5 linked regions of the Sus scrofa genome follow. The protein of the gene in region 3 purifies or fractionates together with the protein of the main gene of each other region. This does not show direct contact. Links are inferred from orthologs where the notes say so. Each region holds a gene or a part of one and is shown on either strand. Other genes may lie near its edges. The genes, in order: EBNA1BP2, SON, SRPK3, CCDC86 and FTSJ3.

Region 1 (4,576 bases), on a different chromosome or scaffold from region 3:
ACTGTGCCAGGAAAGAAGACTTCTCTCCACTCATACGTCTACAAACTGTGGTTAAACTGGTGTGTGGCCTCGGCCCCCGTGCTCAATACACCACATACACAATAAAACCTCAAACAGCTATCAGGTACCTGGAGGTCTGCATTAAACATACACATTTTAGTTAAAGGATGAGCAGCTGCCAGTTTGAATGAGATCGGTCTGCGCTCACCTCCAGATTAGCTCCCCCGAGTACCACAGAGACAGGAGCTCCCCCAAATCCAGCTTGAGACCCGAGGGAACTATTTAAGTGTATCTTGGGTTAGGGGTTGGTAATTTTCTTCCTCCCAAAGTTGAGTGGGGAACCGAGATCTACCTAACTCCAAATTACACCAAATCTGAGCCGTATATTAATCCCTCATTTTCTCAAAGATAAAACTGAGGCCCAGAAAAAAGTTAACTGTCTACAAGTTACAGCCCGGCTCCCCAAGGAAAGGGCAGGAAAGAACTACTGTCGTTCACAGAGAACAGGCCTGTGGTTGTGGGATCAGCAGTTGCAAACTGTTATACAAAGTGGGTAAACCACAGGGTCCTATTGTAGAGCACAGGGAACTATACGCAGCATCCAGTAATAAACCGCAATGGAAAAGAATATGAAAATGTGCAACTGAGTCACTTCGCTGTACACAACACTGTAAATCGACTGTACTTAAATAAAACAAACCAAGAAAAAAAAGAACTGCTGTCTTTGCCACACACTATGCCATGACCGTGCCAGCCAGGAAACGCAAAAGGCCATCTTTACCTCAGGGACCGCACTTCTTCAAGGACCTTCCTCCCCTTTCCTAACTGTTTAACCTAGAAAAAAGTCATCCTTATATGTATCCAGTCGGTGGTCAACGGCATGAATCTGAAGTAGATAACAGATCATTTTCCTCTGACAAGTGGCTCCCTATTAATGGACTTAGGCCTGTGTTCATTTAAATACTAAATGAAATAAGCCAGCTGAGTGCACTTAAGCACAAAGCCTCAGTTTCCCAGAGAACACCTTCCCTGTTTCTCACCTTCTGCATCTGCTGATCGGTCTTGGCCATCTCTGCAAAATAGTCCGTGGGCCGCTTGGTAGGGACTTTGAGCTGATGGAGGCGGGGCAGTACCGCAAGCACTGCTGCCTGGGCCTGACGGTAGCTGAAGATACAGGACCAAGTGTGAGAGGCTAAGGGAGAGAGACCTGAAATCCTCCCCACTGTCTCTCATGAGTCACCTAAGGTCAGAGAGCCTCTCAACACCTGAGCTGCACCAGCAAGAACACACATGCAAACAGAAACAGCAATAAAACCTCACTAACTTTTTAGGAGAAATTTAGATGTACACTCTTTTTAAAGGGGGTGGGGATGAAGACTGTTACATTTGGATGGATGGGCAATGGGATCCTGCCATGTAGCACAGGGAACTATATCCAATCCCTTGTGATGGATCAGGATGGAGGATAACATGAGAAACAGAATTTCTATGCATGTCTAACAGGGTCACCTTGCTGTACAGAAGAAATTGGCAGAACATTGTAAATCAACTATATTATAAACAAATGCACAAATAAATAAAGGGGGTGGGGAGGACTGCTAAAAAGAAATTAGCCGTTTGAGAACGACCACTTTAGAAGAACCCATCAATTTACGAATTCCAATTACATATTCTTATTAAGTCACTAAAAAAAGCCCACAGGGACCGCCCATAAGGAAATTCTTATTCTAAAATCAATTGCACACACACAAAAAACTTTAAAACTGAATATCTGAACACACTGGACTTTAAGCTGTGACTGCTGGACCAAGGGGCTCTTCTCTCAACCAGGGAGACTCTCCTAGCTCTTTGGTCCAAAGAAGCCCTCCTCCCGGCTCCCAGGGTTAGGAAATCCCTACTGGCTCACGGCCTCCCCCCTCCTCACTCTCCAGCACGTTCTCGGGGACCCACAACCTCTGCCACTTGAAAACAGACGTACAAGCTCATCTCACGCTGGAAGTCGTCTTCTGGATCAACAGCTTTCGGATCCTTGCTCTGGGAGGCTGACTGAGGGGCAGTGACTTCCGGCACCGGACCCAGGGTCACGTCGAGCCTTTCAACCCACTCCAGATCCCGCTTAAATTCGCCCAGACACTGCTTCAGGCCATTCTAGGAAATCCAGACACGAAGCTCACAGGGAGGAAACAGGCCAACAAACCAAGCGTTAGCCCTCGAGACCCCGACAGGTCGTGGACCCCCCTGGCAATGCGCAGGCTGCGTCTTCTCTGGGACTAGAACGCAGTCTCCCGGGCACAACCGTGCCTCGTGCGCACCCCACGCCCAGCCCCTCCCGCCCGGCGCCCGAGCTCACCACGTCGTTCACGGCCTTCTTCGGCCCCTCTAACACCACGTTGAGGCCTGGCTTCAAGAGGCCCCGGGAAAACGCGTCCTGCAACTACAGGCACGACCGGCAGTCAGTACCGGAGAACCAGGACCCCTCTCCCGTGCGCAGCCCAGCAAGCTCGGCGGACACCTACCTCTCGGTCGGTGACCAGAGAGTCATCAGAATCGGAATCCGAACCTGAGAGCGGGGGAGTATCCATCTCGCAAAGCGCACGTCCACACCCGCCGGAGGAGGCAGCGGAGCCCTAGGTCTCCGCGGCTACAAAAGGGTGCCCCTCGCCGCCGCCGCCGCCTCCGGCTGTCCGGCCGCTGCCCGCCCACCGCAGCTCCACGTGTATCCGAACACCACCAGGGCCCTCAACTCCCCGCCGCCACTCAACCCTCTGAGCGGGACTTCCGCTTCCAGCCGAAGACACACTTCCGGTTTGCCGTCGCTATAGGAACCGCTCCGGCGTCGGAAAGTGCGGGGCTGCTTAGGATCCCTGGGTAGTACCCTGCATCCACGAGCGGTCTGGTGATCCGCAGAGCAGAAGCGACAGGTGGGACGGGGCTCTGGGGATCGTCCGGAACAGGGAGCCGCGAAGGCAAAGGAAAGAGGAGAAGCAGGAGCCGGGTCGAGGGCGCGGAAGGAGGCTGCTGAAGGGAGGTGGGCGGAGAAGGCCCTGGGGGCGGGGTCTGGCTCAGGGGCGGGGTCAGGGGCGGGGTCAGAGGCGCGTCGCGGGGGCGGGGGGCGGGGGGGCGGGGGGGGCTCGGTGGGGGGTGACGCGTGTCTCCGAGCTCCCCACCTGCGCTTCATCTTCAGCAGAACTCTTTACCCGGGACCATGTCCACCGTGGTAGCTCAGTCGCTGCATGTTTTTGGTTTTCGATCCCACGTGGCCAACAATGTCTTCTTCTTCGATGAACAGATCATCATATTTCCTTCAGGAAATCATTGTGTGAAATACAATGTGGATCAAAAGTGGCAAAAATTCATTCCAGGTAAAACACTTTCCAGTCTGACATACGTAACCATGTGTGCCAAATATAATCCCATAATCCCATCCCGACGATTGAGAAGGAAACCTCTTTGACCAACTTGGGATATACCTGTGGTTTTATAAATGTGAAAGAAATATGGGTCTACGTGCCTTATTTGATGTATAGATTAATGAGTCGCACATACACAGCTAAGATTACATGTAAAATCATGTTAATATTAATGCACTTTTTAAACTGTGATTTAATGAAAGAAATATTTGGAAGAGTTTCATGCATCTTCAATATCGCTGTCTTTGAGTTTTACAACAGTTTTCCAGAGTACACCACTTTCATTACAGCACCTTTTGAGTCTATGTGTGATGACGACCCTGGAGGTTTTATCCCAAATCACAAATAACCATCCCTGGTGTGTTCACAGTGGTCCTGCTATTGATTTCCGTGGTTTCCACCATTTAACCACCTGCTCTTTTTCCGACTCCTTTTTTGCATGCAGCAGGTCTTATTGTGACAAATGCGTACAAAAGACTTTTGCGTACAAAAGATCTTTGAGCCTGCCCGTAGGATAGGAAACAGAACATTACCAGTTCCAGCGTTTCTCCCTGATTGCATTCTTCCCACGTGCATGCCCACTCTCACCCCACCCTGGACTTTGCTATTATTCCCTTATTCCTCTGTGTAGTTTTACACGCCTATCTGTGTGGCTTTAGGTAAGATGCCGCTTTTTTTAGTCTGTGCTGTTTGCCAACTTTATTTACATGTAATCATAGTGTATGTATTCTGTGACTCGCTTCTTTTGCTCAACAGTATGCTTTTGAAATTCATGCATCTCGATACATATTAACTGCGTTTATATTATTACTGTACAGCATTCTGTCATATGACTCTAGTATCTCAAACGTATTTATCCATCCTAGTGTCGATGGCCATTTCAGAACCAGCATTTGTCACTGTTACTAACCACGCTGCTACAAACATTCTTGCCTTCATGTGTACGCATCTCCTTGTGCAAAGATGCTCCAGGACATGCACCAGGGCTGAAATTACTGGCTCACGTGGTAGCACCAATCCACACTCCACCAAAAGGCCGTGGCAGGAGGAGGCCATGCCTCCGCCAGGGCCTCACCACCCTTTGCTGTTATTTTACTTCCTAAGTTTTTGCTTGCCTAGTGCTTGAGAAGGGGTATCTTACTGTGGTTTTAACGTGTATTTATCTC
Region 2 (4,028 bases), on a different chromosome or scaffold from region 3:
AGGTACACCTGGGACAATTAATATTATTGACTGTTTTAACACTGCCTTCTTTTTATTTTGCAAGCTAAGAAGAGATACCAGTGACCCTAAATAGTGGACGAAAACAGGAGTGTTCTAATTTTTTTTTGGAGGGCGGGGGCACAAGGACCACTGTTTTAAAACTGCCATTTATTTGCCTTTCAAAATACTGTTATGTTTATGTGAAAATAATTAGAACATACACACTACAGTATGTATACAGGTATAGAAGCATTTAATTGCTACAACAGATATAGAAGTAAAATAAGATTTTTTTTTGAAAAAGTTACACTGAGTTTGTAGTCAAATTCTAACTATAAAATGCGGATATTTTACCTTTCTTTCTTCGGATAGGATCAATTCTTAAGAGCAGCCCCAGTAACTGGAGGAATGGGAGCGGTTTTGATGAGAAAAATGGGCTGGAGAGAAGGAGAAGGATTAGGAAAAAACAAAGAAGGAAATAAGGAACCTATCCTAGTTGACTTTAAAACAGACCGAAAAGGTAAGTTTTTAGAATGTTTTTTAATATGTCCTTTACCATTTAGGGTTTCATTACTGTTATAAATATTCTTTTGCTATCAGTGACCTGGAACTGGAGGCACTCCTTACAGTATATACCAAGCTCTTGGTTAGGAAAAAAAGTTTCCCCCATTTTCAGAAGCTTATACAGCTGGAAACACTAATTTGAGCTTCAAGGGCAACCTTTGTTGTGTGCAGTATATGATTTAACTTTCAGTTAGATTTCATGTTTCAAAAATGGAATTTACCATTTGTTTTCCCCTGACAGGGAAGGAACGTATGCTTGTCTTTGGTTCTAGGATTTGAATCTCATTTCCTATTAGAGAGTGCTGTTTAGTCTTCATTTTCAAAACCCTTTTTGCATGTCCCTTTTTTTGAGCTCAGTAATTGAGTTCTGTTGGGTTGGGACTAGAGAGTAATAAACCAACTGCTGATAGTTGTTTCATTTCTTCCCTTGGAATAAGGTCCCCGGTAGAATCACTTGGGCTGCCTGTTTAAGCCTGCTTTTTAAATACTGGAAAATTTAAAACTAGAATTTGTTTTCCTTGTCTTTGCATTAACCTCAGTTTAACTTTGATTACAATTAAATTGCTGTCCTAATGGATTTGGACACCCACTATCCCGGACCAAATTATGTATTTTTTAAAAGGTTTTGTTATTAGAATTTCTACATTGTCACCCACAAAGAATACTGTGTTGCCATTTTATTCCATTTGGAGGGAATTCATTGTAATCCTGATAATCAAAAGCAGGCTGGAAATAGCACAAGAACATCCTAATGTGGCATTACTTCAAACTATTAAATTAGGAAAAGACACTGTACTGATTGTCACATTGACGTTATACTGCTTTATATAAGTTGAATGGATTCTTTGGGGTTTATTGGAAAAAAACATCTGGATGCATTGCGTAATTTGAGGCAGTAGTCTTTTTGGAATTGTGCAGTGTTGCATCCATGTTGGCCTAGGTTTGGGAAAGCATAGTGGCAGAATTGGCAAAGAACTGGTTGAAGAATTCACCCTAAGATAAATGGAAAGTATTACTTGTTGGATGGTAATAGAGCTAAACTTCTTTTGGAAAGTGAGGCTGAGTCTGTCTCTTGAGTACATCTCATATCTGAAGTCAGAAAGGGCTTGTTTCCCGAGAAAAAAACGGGTCCATTTACCCATTAGAGAGCGTTTCTTGCTTTTTTAAACTTTGTTTTGGTCTAAAATCCTCACCTTTTGGAGAACATACTTTTAAACTAAGCCTCATTTTTTTTTTTTTAAAGGGATGGAAAACCTTTAGAAATCATCTGCAAATAGCCACCAGTATTTAAACTTGCAAAGAAACAGACCCACAGTTGTTGATAATTATGACAATTTATATGTGTGTTCACATATTAAATTCTTGTATTTTTGGAACATTTTAATTTTGCAGTTTCCAATATTGAGATCTATGAATACAAAATAGAGATTTATATATTGAAAGGGCAAAATAGAAATCAAGGTTTATATAGAAGTCAAGGGTAGTGGTGGGTGTTAAATATTGTATTTGAAGCCATGGAACCAGTTCAGGTTCCTACATAGAGGGAGTGGTTGTTTTGCCTTATTACAGTTTTAAATGCTGGTTCGAGATTCATTCAGTGAACATTGCATAAATGTTCAATGAATAAATTGAATTTCTTTTTTTTAAGGTCTTGTTGCAGTAGGAGAAAGAGCACAAAAGAGGTCTGGAAACTTCTCTGCTGCCATGAAAGATCTGTCAGGTGAGAGTACACTTTTGAATATCCTCCTGTCCCACCCACTCTTTGAATTCATAATTTGTTGCCACAGGTGTGGAGATAATTAATAACCGTTTTTTTTCTTCTGTATAGGCAAACATCCTGTGTCTGCCTTGATGGAAATCTGTAATAAGAGAAGGTGGCAACCACCTGAATTTCTTCTGGTCCATGATAGTGGCCCTGATCATCGCAAACATTTTCTCTTTAGGGTAAATATGAATTTCTGCATTAATTCTATACTAGTTTTATGACTTAATGTTAGAGGGTGAGGGGTAAGCATCATATGATCACAGGATTAATGTTTGCGGGTTGGGAATGTGTATATGTGTGGGTAGAGTGGTGGCATTTTAAAAAATGACCTGTTGATTTTTTTAAAAAAATGTTGGAGGGAAAGATGTGGGCAAAATTTGATGAATAATTTGTTAATCCTTTCTAGTGGAACATGGGGGGAATTAAGCAGTTTTTATCAGGCTTTTCCCCCCACCCCTTCAATTTGGAGACCTGCACTTAATTTGCAGTCTCTTTTCCGAAATGATTTGCTTCTTTGGGGGTTGAGATTAATTTGCTTTATTACATAGTATGGGTGTTATATTTTTGTAAATTACTTTTCTAGCATTTAGTGAAAAAAATACAAAGCTAATAGATATTAAAGTTTGATGCTGTTCTTATTGTATGTTTTTCTTGAATAGGTATTGAGAAATGGAAGCCCTTACCAGCCCAATTGTATGTTTTTCTTGAATAGGTATTGATAAATGGAAGCGCTTACCAGCCCAGCTTTGCCAGCCCTAATAAGAAGCATGCTAAAGCCACAGCAGCTACTGTGGTTCTTCAAGCAATGGGCCTTGTACCAAAGGACCTCATGGCTAATGCCACTTGCTTCAGGAGTGCCTCACGTAGATAGATTGAGGTTTTATATTAATCATTTCAGATAATTTTACTCTGCATCAAAATGTATTTCCTCTTTAATGTTGTAAATATTTGGCAATTTAAGACATTGTGTAAAAAGCAATCTGTACAAACATCTCCAGGCTTTGATTTTTGTACCATGGAAATTGTATTTAACCATACAGGGTTTTGGTATGTTTATATTGTTTACCTTAGTGATGTATTTGTTTAAGTGGCTAACATCCAAACGATTGTTTGAAGGCATCCGTAATCTTCAGTGTGGAATGTTAAATAACGCTTTTATACTGTATTTTGTACTATGATGTAACTCCCCTTCCTTATGGCTAGGCTGCTGTAACACTTGCCTGTAATCAGTGAAGGGCTGTGCACCTTGTACTAGTTCCCAATGGGTTCTGCTGGACAGATACTGGGCCAGTGTTATTGAGGTAATCAAGCAAGATCTGTTCCACAGGGCTAATGCCACCATCTCCCCTTTAAAATTTTGTAGAGGTTGTAAAAAGAAAAAAGAAAAAAAAGAAAAAAAAAAAGGAAGTGGTATGTTGTGTGATGATCAGCACTAAGTCCTGCGTTTCTGTCAAAGCCACTTGGGCCATGAATGAGAAGGGAGTCCAAATGAAGTCTGACTAGAATTCTACTGCAGAGGCCAAGTACATTTAGTATGGCATTGAGTTGTGATATAGTCTTACTTTGATGTGCATTTTGAATTTCAGCTACACCTAGGTAGACGTAAAATGATAATTAAAATGCTGTAACCATCTTATCTAATAAAATCGGCACCCAGCCACTATTTTGTTGACTATGAGAAAGTTTAAGTTTATGTTAA
Region 3 (4,648 bases):
CTCCTACCACCCAGCAGGCGTTGCCCAGGTCTGCGATCTTGATCCTGATCTTGTCTGCATTTTGGGGCTCTAGGGGGTTCACCAGCAGGTTGGAGGCACCAAATGGTGCTGGGGAAGCAAGAGAAGGAAGAGAGACTGAGCTGGCCTGGCCCGCCCGGCCCCGCCTGCCAGCCCACGCCTTCCTGCCCGACTCACTGCTGGGCGACAGGAGGCCCCCGGTCTCCCGCTGGTTGGACGAGCCCGAGAGGATGGAGCACGATGCAGGGGAGAAGAGGGAGCCTGAGAAGCCTGAGGTCTGCGAGCCGGGGCTGAGGCTGCGGTCGCCCCCAGGGGCAGGGGAGGAGGAGGCCGGAGAGGGACCGGGCCCGGCGCCCCCGGGGTGACAGCCTGAAGAGGAGGTGGAGCCGCTGCCCCCCTCCAGTCTCGAGCCAGAGTCTGGGGAGACGGGCGGAGGTGCTGTGTGAGCCGCTGCCCCGCGTCGCATGCCAGGCAGCTCTGCACCCCTCGGGCCCCTCACCCTCGGCCTGGGCTGCCGCCTCCATGGCCTCCAGCCTCTGCAGGTCCCGCAGCCGCTCCTCCAGCAGCCGCTTCTGCTGTTTCCTTTTGCGCCTCATCTTCTTCCTCTTGTTTTTCGACAGCTTGCCGCTCTGCTGTTAGAGCCGGGGTCACTCCGAGGCTCCTGTCTCCCATCCCCTGAGCAGCTCAAGCCTCTGCCCGCGGCCTGCAGGCCCCAGGGCTCCGTGGACACCAGCACGCGGTGCCGCCCCCTCCAGTCCACCCCTTGGCTCGGGCCCCTCACCCGCCTCCCGTCTCCCCGCCCGCCTTCCACCTGCCAGAGCTCAAGATTCGGGAGGAACCAACAGGGCTGCCCCTGGGCCCTCCCGGCCTTAGACGGCATCCTTCCTTCCGCTGGGGCAGTGGCAAGCCCAGCGGCTGCCCAGGGCAGTTTGGGGCGCGTGGAAAGAGCTGGGCCGCTCAGCTGGGGAGGGCGGACAAGCAGGAAAGGGTGGAACCAGAGAGGCTGAGAGAGTGAGCTCTCAGGACACGGGAAGATGAGGCCTAGGAGAAGAGGGGCGCCCAACTTACCAAGACTTCCTGGGGGGCAGTGCTGACTGTGGGGTGCAGCAGAGCGCGGGCCGAGAGAAAGGAACAGAGACTCAGGCAAGAGCTGAGGCCTGCAGGCCCCGGCCCGGCCCGCTGCAGGTTCTTGGTACCTGTGGAGCGGGAGGGGGGTGGTGCCCCTGACTGCTGCCACTCTGTGGCTTCGGCAGCCAGGCGCCTGATGTAGGCGTCACCCACGCACAGCAGGATGTTCTCGGGCTTGATGTCTGTGTGGATGATCTTGCACTTGGTGTGTAGGTAATCCAGACCGTGCAGCACCTGGGGAGAGCCGCTCCTGAGCGCCACCGGCCCCGCCCAGGCTGCCTCGCGGGCGGGGCGCCGGTCCTGCAGGACACATGCTGCCCACCTGCCTCACGATGCTCTTCACACAGGGCACGGGCAGGCCCTGGTAGTTGGACTTGATGATCCACTTGAGGAGCTGGTGGCCCAGCACCTCCAATACCATGCACACATCTGGGGCCAGGAGTCAAGGGCAGCCACCGGGCACGCGGAGCCCTGGTCCTGCCCCCCCCACCCCTTAGCTGCACTGCGGGGAGCCACAAGGCTCAGGCCGTGCAGAGCTGGGTCTGGAAAGTCCTGGCGACCACCTTCCCGGGGTCATTAGTGTCCCTGTCACTCGGCTGTGCCAGTTGGGAAAAGGCACTGGGCGGGGGGAGCCGGGCCCGTGGGTGCCAATGAGCCTGCACACAGACCCCCACGGAGCCAGCCCCTGCCACCTGTGGGTAATCCAGCAACGCCCCTGGGTAACGACCAACTGGGTTCTCGGCTCTCCCCCTGCGCGGAAACACGGTCCGCAAGGCAGTCCCTGGAGGGATGAACCCCCGTCATGCGGTTCAGGAAACCGAGGCCCTGGGAGCCGGGAAAGCTGCCCCGGGGCTCTGCTCAGCCTACAAAGGATACGAACTCCGTTCACCCCTGAGATCCGGAAGTCGTCGATGAGCTGGACAATGGTTTCTCTTTTGGGGTCACTGGGGTCACTGTCCCGCACCTGGAGCCAAAGCCGAGGGCCCAAAATGACTCCGACCCGCCCCTCACCAGCCACTGCCCGGCGGCTCCGCCCGGCCCCGCCCTCGTGCTCCGGCAGGTCCTCCCACTGCGCAGAGCCAGCTGGAGCCGGCCCTCCGGGAGCCCTGCCCGCCCGCCCGCCGAGCCGCCGAGCCGGCGGGCCTTGCACCCACATGGCCAGGCTCCGGCGGCTCCTGGGGAGCCGGGAGTGGGCAGGGGAGGCGCCTCACACATTTCAGGAGCTTGATCTCATCCACAGCTGTCTCCGTGTAGTGCCCCGCGCTCTTCACCACTTTGAGGGCCACGAAGCGCTTGCGCCTGCAACACCCAGAGCCGCGTGGGCTGCCGCTGCTGGCCGGACCCGTGGGGCCCTCGTGGCGGCCCCAGCCACAGCCGGGATCCCAGCTGGCCTTGAGCCCGGCGGGCGGGGGGGGGGCGGTGCGGAGGGGGCACTCACTGAATGTCCCAGCAGAGCCAGACGGTGGAGAAGTGGCCCCAGCCCAGCTTGCGCACCACGTGGTACCGCCCATTGAACAGGTCCCCGATCTTCACAGGGTAGTAGCCGCCTGGGGAAGGGAGCCCCTGGAGCACGGTGGGGGTGTCGCCTTCCCCTCTGCCCCGGGACGGCCCGGCCCTGCCCGCCCCCCAGCCACGCGGGCTGGCTCCGGCCCCTCCTCCCCCCGGGCCGCGCCAGGCCAGGCCTCACCCTTGCAGTAGTCCTTGGGGTCCTCCTGCTCCTCGTCGTCGGAGCCCAGCAGCCCCTGCAGCATCCGAGGCGCCGGTGTGGGGGGAGCTAGTTCGGATCCCGAGGACTCGGGCCCGCAGGAGGCCTGCGAGCTGGGGGTGAAGTGGGCGGGCCGTGAGCGCACGAGGTGCCAGAGGCCCCTGGCGCCCCGGCCCGAGCCTTACCTGCTGCTGCTGCTGCCGCCGCTGTCCCCGCCGCCGCCACCGCCCGTGCTGGCGCTCATCCCGGCGGCGCGGCCCGCAGCTCCGGCGCCCCGGGCGGCTGCTCCTGTGGGGCCCGGCCGCGGCCCGTGCATTTATAGCCTCGGCCGCTGATCTCACCCGCCTTTATAAATAGCCTCCCAGCTGCTCCGCTGTGGGCAAGGTATGCAGCGGGGAGGGGGCGGTGCGGTGACAGCGGGCCCCGGAGAGCCCGGCCCCCAGGACGAGCCCCCCTTCCCCAGGGGGCGCCACTGCCTGACCGGCAGGACCCAGCCTCCGCACGGAGTTCCCTCGCAGCCCAGGGCCCAGAGGGACACCCACAGCGGGACATGGGGACCCGGTCCCCAGGCTAAGCCCCTGCACCCCAGGGCTGGCAGAGGGGGCCACCAAGGGGCACTTGACAGTGACTCGGTCCTCGAGCAGTCCCGGCACTGCAGGGTCCGCTAGGGGGGACAGCCAAACAGGGGCACTGTGGACCTGGCAAACTGGTCCTCAGGCCAAGCCTGTACCCCTCTCACATGCCCTCGGGAACAGGTGACACTTCGGGAACATTCTCTGGCTTCCGGCTTGGCCCTCGCGGGAGCCTTCCCGGAGGCAATCTCTGCCATGCCCACGGGTACCGCATTCCCCGCTCACTTTCAGCCAGGTGCCCACTTTCCTGTCTTAGGAGTCAAGGACCCACCAGGGCTCTAGCACTATGGCCCTGTGTGGCTTCCCTCCCAGCTCCCTGGGGCCCGGGTCTGGCTCCACCCCGGGCCTGCCAACCCTGCCTGGCTCACTGTCCCCACCAACGTGTGTGTGCGCTCGGGAGGCGTAGGGAGCTGTGCACCCTGGCTCTCCCTTCGGGGGCCCTCCTCAAGCTCTCGTGGGCTGGTGACAGAGCGACGTCCAGGTCAGGCAGAGCCCTCCGGGGCTGCGACCTTGGGGCCGCATCCAAGGGACCAGAAAGGAGAACTGGGTCGCCAGAAAGGGGGTGGGGTTAGCCTCCAGGGAGGCAGCGGGACGGGCTGGAGATCTCGGTGGCTGGCCCTGGCTTACGAGTGGCTGCGGGTGGGGAAGACGAGCAGAGGTCTTGGGCCACCAAGGAGCCCCACCCAGAGCCCCTGGGCACAAGCGTGGCGTTCCGGCAGAGGCCAATGGACACTTTGGCTCTTCCGAAAGAACACTGGCTGCTCCCGGGACAGAATGGAGGGGGGAGGAGCTGGTGACTGTCAGGGGGTCAGGACGAAGCAGAGGGGCCTTGGCCGTGACTGGTCATCCCAAGATGGGAGACACTTGGTCCCACATCCTTGTGCCGAGAAAAGAACTGGGTAGGGGGGCATAGATGGGGGTCGGGGAGGGAGGAGAGTGATGGCTGCGGGTCCTCTTTTTCTCAGGCAGTGGAAGCCATCACCGGGGGAGGCGGGGCTAGGGAGTGTGCTTCTTCTAAAAAGACATACGTCTATTTTATTTCCAGACGTGAGGCTCCAGCAAGTACATAAATACAGTGGGGGAGGGGGAGGGAGAAGGATGGGTATAAATTAGAAAGAAGCAGGGCCGGGGGCGCGGGAGTTGGATGGTGAGGCGCCAGGAGCCC
Region 4 (4,552 bases), on a different chromosome or scaffold from region 3:
AGTGCAGTGGCATGTAATCTCCTCCACAGCCCTGGTAACGCCTGCCCGGTGTGGTTTGGCATAGCCTCCAGGCTGGGGCAGGGAATTAGGGAACTGAGAATTGAGGGTTGGAAGACATGGGTGAGGAAGCGTTTGAGCTGCTTCTGCAGTGGGGACCTGCACCGCTGTGCTGGGGCACCGAGACATAGCCTCCTTGCAGAGGCTTCTTTGGTCCAGGAGCAAGGGGCATGAGGGCACTGAGCCTGTGGGTGGAGCCCCTGAAAGTGGCCCGGAAGGGAGGGACTGACACGGGATTACAGCACAGGGATGCAACTTTCTGACAACAGGGAAGGGTAGTGGAGTAGCAGAGCCAGCGCCTAACCCTTAAGTACCCTTGGGATTTCAAAACGCTAGATTCATCAAGATATGTTGTGGATGCCGTGTGGCACCAGCCAAGGGGTGAGAGGTCTTAAAGGATCCTCAATCCACTTTTCCATCCTCCAGGAACCTTGCCTATGTTTTCCTCCTCCTCATCTCCTCTTGATCAGCAGTCAAGTCACCTTGCACCCCATCTGACAGTTGGAAGAGTGACTCGGCAGGTGGGAGCTGAGCTCAGTGCTGAGGGCCCTGGCTGTCTGCCTGGCCTTCCTCCTCTGCCCCCTGAGCACCTCTGGACAACTTCCCAGGCCCACGCATAACCCCTCAGCTGAAGAAACAATAGTGTCTAAAAGAAGCTGCTGGGACAGCGGAACCAGGACCCTGGGATGCCTAAGCGCCATCCCCAGGAAGTTCCAAAAATACACTAGGGAAGAGCTGGGGTACATTTGGGCAACTGCCAAGATGTTCTTCCTAAGAAAGGCGTCTGCTCTGAGTGACTCAAAGCCCCCAACTGGGTGTCACGCAAAGGAGGGAGGAGACAAGTTCACATACTAGGGCAAGGACCGCTGTCTTGGCTGAAATAAAACCCAGAGACAATCCGACCTCTGTTTCTAGAACTAGGGCAGAAGGGGTACCAGAAAAGGTGTGCAGAGGGGCTGAGGGCCTGGGCATGCCGCAGATGGTGCATTTTACCCATACTCCAACTTCATGCAGAAAGCTGAAAATGTTGCAAAGGAGAGCCATCGATTTTACATTTAGGCATAGGATGGGAGAAGAGAAAGCAAGGATTACTTTTAACACTGGGCTTAAGAAATTTCCCACCTTCAGGATCTGCCAAGTAGCATTCACCCTGGCAGTCAGGATGCTTTGGCAGGATCATTTTATATACACTAAACTAGTGTAAAAGCACCCGTGTTACAAATGAGAGAACTGAGGCACAAACTGGGTAGGACCCCTAACTGCAGAGGAGTTACTGGCAGTTTTCACCCAGCCTTGCCTACGAGCTCCCTGGATCTTTTCCCAATCCTCTTCTCTCCCGAAAACAGGACCCCTTTTCCTTCCTCCACCGGCACACTCTTTTTCCCCGGAGACTGGGTTCGCAGGAATGACAAACCCCGATCTGAAGCTGACATTCCTTCATCAATCGCGTGTAAACGTGCCAAAACGCTTTGCGCATGCGCCTAGTAAACCCAGGCCCCGCCCGCCCCGGACTCCTCTGTACCCGCCTATCTGCCCATCACCAACATGGCCTCCGCAGCAACAGCCCCTCCTGCCCTACACAGACGTGGCGTCTCCTGACGTCATAGGACGGCGCCGGGAGTCCCAGAAGCTGCACGTGGGCTTGGATTTAGAAACTCTGGCGGTGCCATGGATACACCTCTCAGGCGCAGTCGGCGGCTGGAAGGACTAAAGCCTGAATCCCCCGAGAACCCCACCCCAGTTTTGCAGGCGAGACGGGCCCTTGTGGAGCTCGAGTCGCACCCAGAAGAAGCGAGGGAGCCCGGGTCTCCTCGGAATGTGCAGCCACCAGGTTTGGGGTCCCCCAGACGTCAGTCAGAGACAGCTCCAGTTTCACCCAGTCTACAGGAAGGGGCAGGCTTGGGGTCCTCCCAGAGACAGCCAGAGCCGGGCCCAGGGTCCCCCCAGCGTCAGCGAGATCCGGGTCTGGAGTCTTCCCAAAGGCAGCCGGAATCGAGTCCTGAAACCCCAGGACTTCAGTCAAAGCCAAATGGGGAGTCACCAAAGTTCTCCCAGGACCAAGAAGCGGATTCGGAGTTGGCCGGGAGTAAGGCGGAGCAGACCCCGGAGTCTCCCCAACATCAGCTGCAGTTGGGCCCAGGGTCACTAGAGCCTTACCCCGGTCAGCAAGCGCCGGATCTGGAGCCCTCGCAGCCACTACAGGAGCTGCCACTGCAGGAGCTGCCACTCCAGTCACCCGGTTCCCCACAGGATCAGAACGAGCCAAGCAAGCCAGCTCCATCCAGGGAAAGGGGGAGAGACGTCCTCGGGCCAAAGAAGCGAGAAAGTTCTTCAGTCCAGGCCCCAGCGTCCAAAAAGCAGAAGAAAGAGGAGGTTCCTGTTATCCCGAAGGGGAAGCCCAAGTCTGGGCGAGTGTGGAAGGACCGCTCAAAGAAGAGGTGAAGTAGGCGACACCTGGGCGGGCATGGGGTTCTGTGTGGTGCTTGGGCCTGGGCACAACCTGGGGATAGCCCCCTGGGTTGGAGAGCGCTCACAAAAGTGGGGGTGTCACACAAACAGGTAATTATAATCAGAATGTGGTAAGATGCACCGGGATGTTGGGGAGGAATGCCCTCAGTGGACCTCTTCTCATCTGTGTGTTCATTCAACACACATTTACCCTCGACTCTGCCCTCTCTAATAAGGAGGCAGAAGCAAGTAAAACAGTATTTACCATTATGTTACATTTTTTTGCCTTTTTAATAAAAGGCATTACCAAGTACTGACAATATAGAAAGCTGCTAAGCCCTCTAGTAAGGATTGGTTAGGGGAAGGGCCTTTCAAATGGTAGAAGCATGCATCTTGGCTTTTTTTTCTTTTTTCTTTTTTTTTGGCTTCACTTGCCTGCAGCTTTCGGCAGCTCCCAGGCCAGGGATCAAACCCGGGCCACAGCAGCAACTTAAGCCGCTGTGGTGACAATGCCAAATCCCTAACCCACTGCCCCACAAGGAAAACTCCTGCATCTTGACATTTAATCTGCACATCAGCCCCATGAAGCTGTTAGGATTATCCTCGTTGTACATACGAGGGCACCAAGGCTCAAGGAGGCTGCATGAGTGGTAGAGGCAGAAGCCGAGCACAGATTGGATTCCAGAGTCCGTGCATGGAAGCCCTTTACCTGTGCTCTGTAGATCTGCTGTGCATTGGATTACAACCTTCTAAAGGGTAGGCATGACATTTTGTCTTGTCTTGCTTGTCTTTCTCTGTGGCAGACAGCAGGTGCCTGATTAAATGCTTGTTGAGTGAAGGAATGAAGAGGCTCAGCTGAAGAGGGAAGTGAGGAGAGGAGAGGTGGGATCCAGTTCACATTTTTAGGTAGTGGGAACCACTGGGCAGTCAGGAATTCATGGCCAGAAGGGACCATCAGGGAAGGCAGTGATTTTAAGGAAGAAGCAGACATTTCCCAAGAGTTGACTGTGTGTCAAGCTTTGGGCTAGGCCTTTTGCAGATGCTATGTTGTTGAACCCCTGAAACCCAAGGCAGGTATAATCCCTCCCCCACCTCCTCCCCCATTAAACGGAGAAGAAACTGAAATTGAGGGAATAATTTGCTACAAGACCCCAATCAGAGACTTCGAAGCTAGACTCTAGACTGTTGGACTTAGAAACGTGGATGGTGGCATGGCCCCTCCGCCTTGGTCCCAGCAGGTCCCAGAGAACAGTGAGGCCACTGATGGCCATGCAGATCCAGATGAAGGGGTTGGCTCAGTGGAAAGAGGGTGATGAGCAAGTTGAGTGTGGGACCCTGGGCCTTGGTACTCGGAGGGGGCGGGGAAGTTGAGCTCTCTGAGCAAAAGGGGGCTGCACCCATGCACAGGCCAGAAGAGAGGGTCGGCAGAAGACCCCAAGCAGCGAGAGAAAGAGGCTATTTTGTCCCAGATCCCACCGTGAGCTGAAACCCTTCCCGACTTCCTTCTTCCCTTGGAATTGCGCTGCCATCCTCTGCCATCACTGAGAACCTCCCCCACCGCCCTTCCCGCCATGTCCCCCGCTGTAGGTGATGCTCCCTCCCAGCTCAGGGCCTTTGCACATGCTGTTCCTTCTGTTGCAAGGCTTTTCCCCTGACTAGTCCCTGCCCATCTTTCAGGGATCAGCTTAAATAGCAAATTTAAATATTAAATATCCCCCTGGGAAAAGCCCTCTTACCCTGGGAAAAGCCCTCTTCGTCCAGCCCAAGCAGGGTTCAGTCCTCAAGCTGTGTTATCATGGGGTGGAACTTCTCTTTTGTGACACCCCCCCATTTGCAGAAATGCCTGTTTACGTGTGTGGTTCTTATTGGCTGCCAGCTTCCCTGTAGACCAGAGAGTGGGGTTTCTCTGCTATGGTGAGATTTCCCTGGCCCAGCACACAGCAGGCACTGAGCTGAACAAGTTGATAAGTAAGAACAGAAAGTAGTTCGTTCTTGGAGTTCCTATTGTGGCTCAGTGGTTGACGAATCCGACTAGCATCCATGAAGG
Region 5 (3,970 bases), on a different chromosome or scaffold from region 3:
GTATTTTTTAAATTCCCCATCTACCGGCAAGGTTGAAGACCCCCAACTTAGCAACGATTAGAACCACTGCTCCTCTTCATCCCTTCTCCCGTCAGCTGCAACCACTCACGTGTCTTCATCCTCACTGCTGCTGCTGTCGCTGTCAGAGCTGCTATCTCTGGCTTCCCCGCCAGGGCCTGTGGCAGCCTCTGTCCCTGAAGGAGCCCCTGCCCCTTCAGGGGCCTCACCCTGGCATGGGGGTGGTTTTCTCTCAGTCTTCACGCTGGAAGGTGCTGGCAGTGGCTGCTGCCCCTTGCGACGGCTCTCGTACAACAGCTGTGCCTGGCTGATCTCCAGGGCCTCGTCAGCATCATCCTCGATCCCGCTGAAGCCATCCTGTGGTGGCAAAAACGTCAGACACCCCCTGCCCTGAGGACGCCAGTCCCGGCCATCCTGGCACCCAGCTGCTGCTTGCCTTTGAGAACCACAGGCTGGCTTGTTCTTCCTGCAGTACCGCCTTTTCCTCGAGTGGCACCAGCAGCGGGTTCTCTCCCTCCTCCTCTTTCTCATCATTTGCTTCAGCAAGTCGTACACTGTAGACCGGAGGCAAACAGGTGCAGAGTCAGCGCCCTGGAGGACTTGCTCCCCCACTCCAGCCCCCACACCCGCCACCAGCTCTGCTTCTGGGCTCGGGCTGAGGGGGGTGAGGACTCCCTCCTGCAATAACCCCCTCACCTCCCTTACCGCTTTTGGTCCTTTAGACCTTGAGGTTCTCTGACTCCTGCTAGGTCCTCTGGATCCAGGTCACTATCCAGAGATGCACTGTCGTCGTCGTCCTCCTCAGCGTCTGATATGTAGATGTCATCACTTGGCAGGTCAGACAGAAACGTGTCTGCAGCACTCATGTCCCCTTGCGTCACCTCCTCTAACAACTGAGACACAGTGGTCAAAGGAGCTGACAAGGACTTCCTGCCTCCCTCCCCATCCATCTTATCTTAGTTTATCCTTGGGAACACTAGGAAATACACTGGCGAGTACAGTACCTTCTCTTACAGACAGGGAAGTGATGGGGTTAAACTGTTTAAAACATCCCATTCTAGGAGTTCCTGTCATGGCACAGCAGAAACAAATCTGACTAGGAACCATGAGGTTGTGCGTTCGACCCCTGGCCTCGCTCACTTGGTTAAGGATCCGGCGTGGTGTAGGTCGCGGATGCGGCTCAGATCTGGCGTGGCTCTGGCATAGGTGGGCAGCTGTAGCTCTGATTAGACCCTAGTCTGGGAACCTCCATGTGCTGTGGGTACGGCCCTAAAAAGACCAAAAAAAAAAAAAAAATCCCGTTCTAGGCCAGGTCACTCAGCTCTCTTCTGTACCAGTAGCAGAAAAAAAGTTTATGAAAAAGTGCCCCATGGCCTAGTGTCAAACTTTAAAATGTCCTAAAACACTGATTTTTTTAAAAAATTTACTTGCAGAAGGCACTATAATAATCTACAGTTCTTGTTTCTACCGAATAAAAGAGCCCATGCAACATACATCTAACAGGAGGTACCATTTCACTTATAAGCCAGTTGTCAACTCCAAAAATCCATTTTCCTCATGGTAAAGATAGCTACTCTTTGAGTCACATACCAGGGTTCCACCTAATCATCTTTTTATATTCCTTCCAAAAATCCTAGTAGGTAGGTTCTATTAATTCTTTTACAGATGAAAAATCTGAGGCAGAGCATGTAAGTGCTTTATTGCCACTGCTGTGGAGCAAGTCGACCTGGTTAGTACCTTCCCACACAAGAGCCACGAAAGCGCATCTTGTTGGTGAGGTTGCTTTTATCAGGAAAAACAGATTCTCCGCTATTTAGCAGCCAGCACCATCTCGCAGCCTAGTGCAGCACAGTGCTACCTGGGTTCAGCGAGCTGAAGGCCGCTTCCTCTGAGGGAAAGCCTCCATCACACATGCTGGGAGCCAGGCCCCTGGCTGCATCTCCCATAAGCTGAGCTTCCTCCAACAAGTGGCCTTGGTTATGGTAATGCACTAGTCCCACAAGGCCGCAGCTCTAGCACACCCAAACCTTCCTACATTCAGCATTCTAAGTGTGGGTTCCTTCCTGGCCTGTGGGACCAAAGCTCTTGTTTATTCCCAGTTGCCCTGGCCAAGTCGTCTTCTGGGTGCAGACAGCCATGAGCCATGACCCCACGGCACCCTCACCAAGGCCCCCCGCTCACCTGGTGACCCCGGATGGTGCGCAGGGAGAACATGCCAGTCTCCCCCTCATCGGCGATGGAAACTCCAGGAAGATCCATCTTCAGCTCCACACGCTCCCGCTGCTTCCTCTGCTCGCGCAGCAGCTTCTTTTTCTTCCTGAGGGGAAGGTTCGAGGAATTAAAGCTGCCCAGCTCTGGAGTGTCCCTTCACCCCTCCCCCGCCTTCACGCCCCAAGGGGCTCTGCCATGGGGCTCCCCCAGCTCCTCTCACCTCTTTAACTCCGCCACCTCCTGGGCCTTCATCTCTGCCAGGGTCCGGTTGAGCTGCTCCTCCTCCTCCTCCTCCTTAGAGGGCTGCTGCGAGGCCCGGGCCGCCTGCTCCTCCTCCTCCCCTTCCTCTTCCTCCCCTGAGCTGAGGCTGACAGAACAGGCCCAGGACTTGGTCATTTTCCCAGACGCTTCCCCCAACACCCAGTCAACACCTGCCCTGGCTTAGCTCCCTCCTCACCTGATGTCCATTGCCTTTGCTTGTTCTTTCAGCTTCTTGGCCACATGTCGCCGAAGCTTCGTCCTCCAGTTCAGTAGGGATCTGCCCCAGAAATACCATTCCTGACCTTACCGTCTCCCTCTTGTCCCCACCGCTGCCTCATACCCCAAAGTTTACATTGGAGCCACATACATCGTAGGGCTCAGACCCTTACCCCAAACCTCTAGCACAGCAGCATCCTGTTCCCAGAGACCCAATGTCAAGACCCTCAAAGGCCCTCCCTGCCTCTGGATCCCAGCACCTACAGCTGCCCCCCGGCGTGTACCTAAGCTCCTTGCGGCCCAGCACTCTGATATCCTGACAGCATGCCCGTACATCCTCGGTGGTGGCTGGATGCCGTGCCAACTCTTCATCATCTATTGCAATCTGTTGGGGAGAAGGAAAAGGAGTTGGGAGACGCTAGGCCATGTTTCTGGGACTCCCTCATACCCCCCAAGTCTGGGGACTCACTTCGCTGGCTTTGGAGAGAAAGTCGACAGGGTTGGCAGCTCGGAGGAAGTCAGTGACTGAGGTTCGGTGATAGAGAGTGAGGTCACCCTCGGCATAGCCTTCAGCCTTGGAAGGGAAAGAAAGAAGGTGAGCGGTCCCTACTGGGGTATCTGAGGACTCGGGCCCAACCGCCCCAGAGTTCCAGGTCCTCGGGGTGGCCCCACTCCCCAAACACACCTTTGGCTTCTTCTTAGTCACCAACTCGGTAACAGTCTTGGCCTGAATTTCAACCTCCTTGAAGGCAAACTTGGGGTCAAAGAATTTACTGTCAACCTTGTCAGGCGCCAGGAATCCTAAGACAATAAGATATGTAAGAACAGGCGCTGTGGCAGGTGAAAACTGAGTCAAGAGATTGAAGTAATGCTCACCCTGGCAGACCACAAAAATCTCTGCAGATTCATGACGAGACGCTTGGGGCTTAGTGGCCTGGACACGGCGGAAGAGCTGCTGGAAGATCCACAGTAAGGGCTGATAATCACGAGAACGGAAAACCTTCGTGATGAAGCAGCCACCGCGACCCAGAAAATCGCAAGCCAAACGCAGAGCCATCAGGGTCAAATGGGCTGTGGGAGAGAGAGACAGTTCGCTGAGGATCTCTGCAGCCCGGAAGGGTGTGCCCCCCCACCACCAGCATCCCCAGGCCACCACCCCATCCTGGCACCTTGTGAATAAGCATCATGGACCCAGCTGGCCCCAACGTTGGGGGCCCCATCATTAAGCACAACATCAACTTTCCAGGTCTTCAGCTCCTTCCTC

The links.
Region 1: the proteins of SRPK3 (region 3) and EBNA1BP2 purify together in Homo sapiens (affinity purification with mass spectrometry; 3 studies listed by BioGRID and IntAct, with this or other methods). This does not show direct contact. The link is inferred for Sus scrofa from reciprocal best matches to the Homo sapiens genes SRPK3 and EBNA1BP2.
Region 2: the proteins of SRPK3 (region 3) and SON purify together in Homo sapiens (affinity purification with mass spectrometry; 3 studies listed by BioGRID and IntAct, with this or other methods). This does not show direct contact. The link is inferred for Sus scrofa from reciprocal best matches to the Homo sapiens genes SRPK3 and SON.
Region 4: the proteins of SRPK3 (region 3) and CCDC86 purify together in Homo sapiens (affinity purification with mass spectrometry; 3 studies listed by BioGRID and IntAct, with this or other methods). This does not show direct contact. The link is inferred for Sus scrofa from reciprocal best matches to the Homo sapiens genes SRPK3 and CCDC86.
Region 5: the proteins of SRPK3 (region 3) and FTSJ3 purify together in Homo sapiens (affinity purification with mass spectrometry; 3 studies listed by BioGRID and IntAct, with this or other methods). This does not show direct contact. The link is inferred for Sus scrofa from reciprocal best matches to the Homo sapiens genes SRPK3 and FTSJ3.

The regions. Positions count from the first base shown.
Region 1 is NC_010448.4:168,047,893-168,052,468, reverse strand, and holds the start of EBNA1BP2 (probable rRNA-processing protein EBP2), read right to left. Parts: upstream 2,984-4,576; 5' UTR 2,583-2,983; coding exon 2,517-2,582; intron 2,435-2,516; coding exon 2,351-2,434; intron 2,149-2,350; coding exon 1,979-2,148; intron 1,165-1,978; coding exon 1,041-1,164; intron 1-1,040. UniProt on the Homo sapiens protein: Required for the processing of the 27S pre-rRNA.
Region 2 is NC_010455.5:197,189,258-197,193,285, forward strand, and holds part of SON (protein SON), read left to right. Parts: exon of another isoform or gene 1-372; coding exon 373-520; intron 521-2,212; coding exon 2,213-2,284; intron 2,285-2,392; coding exon 2,393-2,508; intron 2,509-2,988; coding exon of another isoform or gene 2,989-3,041; coding exon 3,042-3,200; 3' UTR 3,201-4,028. UniProt on the Homo sapiens protein: RNA-binding protein that acts as a mRNA splicing cofactor by promoting efficient splicing of transcripts that possess weak splice sites.
Region 3 is NC_010461.5:124,522,620-124,527,267, reverse strand, and holds the start of SRPK3 (SRSF protein kinase 3), read right to left. Parts: upstream 3,167-4,648; 5' UTR 3,096-3,166; coding exon 3,037-3,095; intron 2,965-3,036; coding exon 2,834-2,964; intron 2,694-2,833; coding exon 2,585-2,693; intron 2,446-2,584; coding exon 2,358-2,445; intron 2,111-2,357; coding exon 2,023-2,110; intron 1,576-2,022; coding exon 1,469-1,575; intron 1,381-1,468; coding exon 1,215-1,380; intron 1,113-1,214; coding exon 1,087-1,112; intron 651-1,086; coding exon 518-650; intron 436-517; coding exon 196-435; intron 109-195; coding exon 8-108; intron 1-7. UniProt on the Homo sapiens protein: Serine/arginine-rich protein-specific kinase which specifically phosphorylates its substrates at serine residues located in regions rich in arginine/serine dipeptides, known as RS domains.
Region 4 is NC_010444.4:10,903,228-10,907,779, reverse strand, and holds the start of CCDC86 (coiled-coil domain-containing protein 86), read left to right. Parts: upstream 1-1,583; 5' UTR 1,584-1,725; coding exon 1,726-2,495; intron 2,496-4,552.
Region 5 is NC_010454.4:15,108,349-15,112,318, reverse strand, and holds part of FTSJ3 (pre-rRNA processing protein FTSJ3), read right to left. Parts: coding exon 3,876-3,970; intron 3,778-3,875; coding exon 3,583-3,777; intron 3,508-3,582; coding exon 3,392-3,507; intron 3,281-3,391; coding exon 3,176-3,280; intron 3,092-3,175; coding exon 2,991-3,091; intron 2,768-2,990; coding exon 2,687-2,767; intron 2,597-2,686; coding exon 2,450-2,596; intron 2,336-2,449; coding exon 2,200-2,335; intron 912-2,199; coding exon 724-911; intron 573-723; coding exon 455-572; intron 376-454; coding exon 110-375; intron 1-109.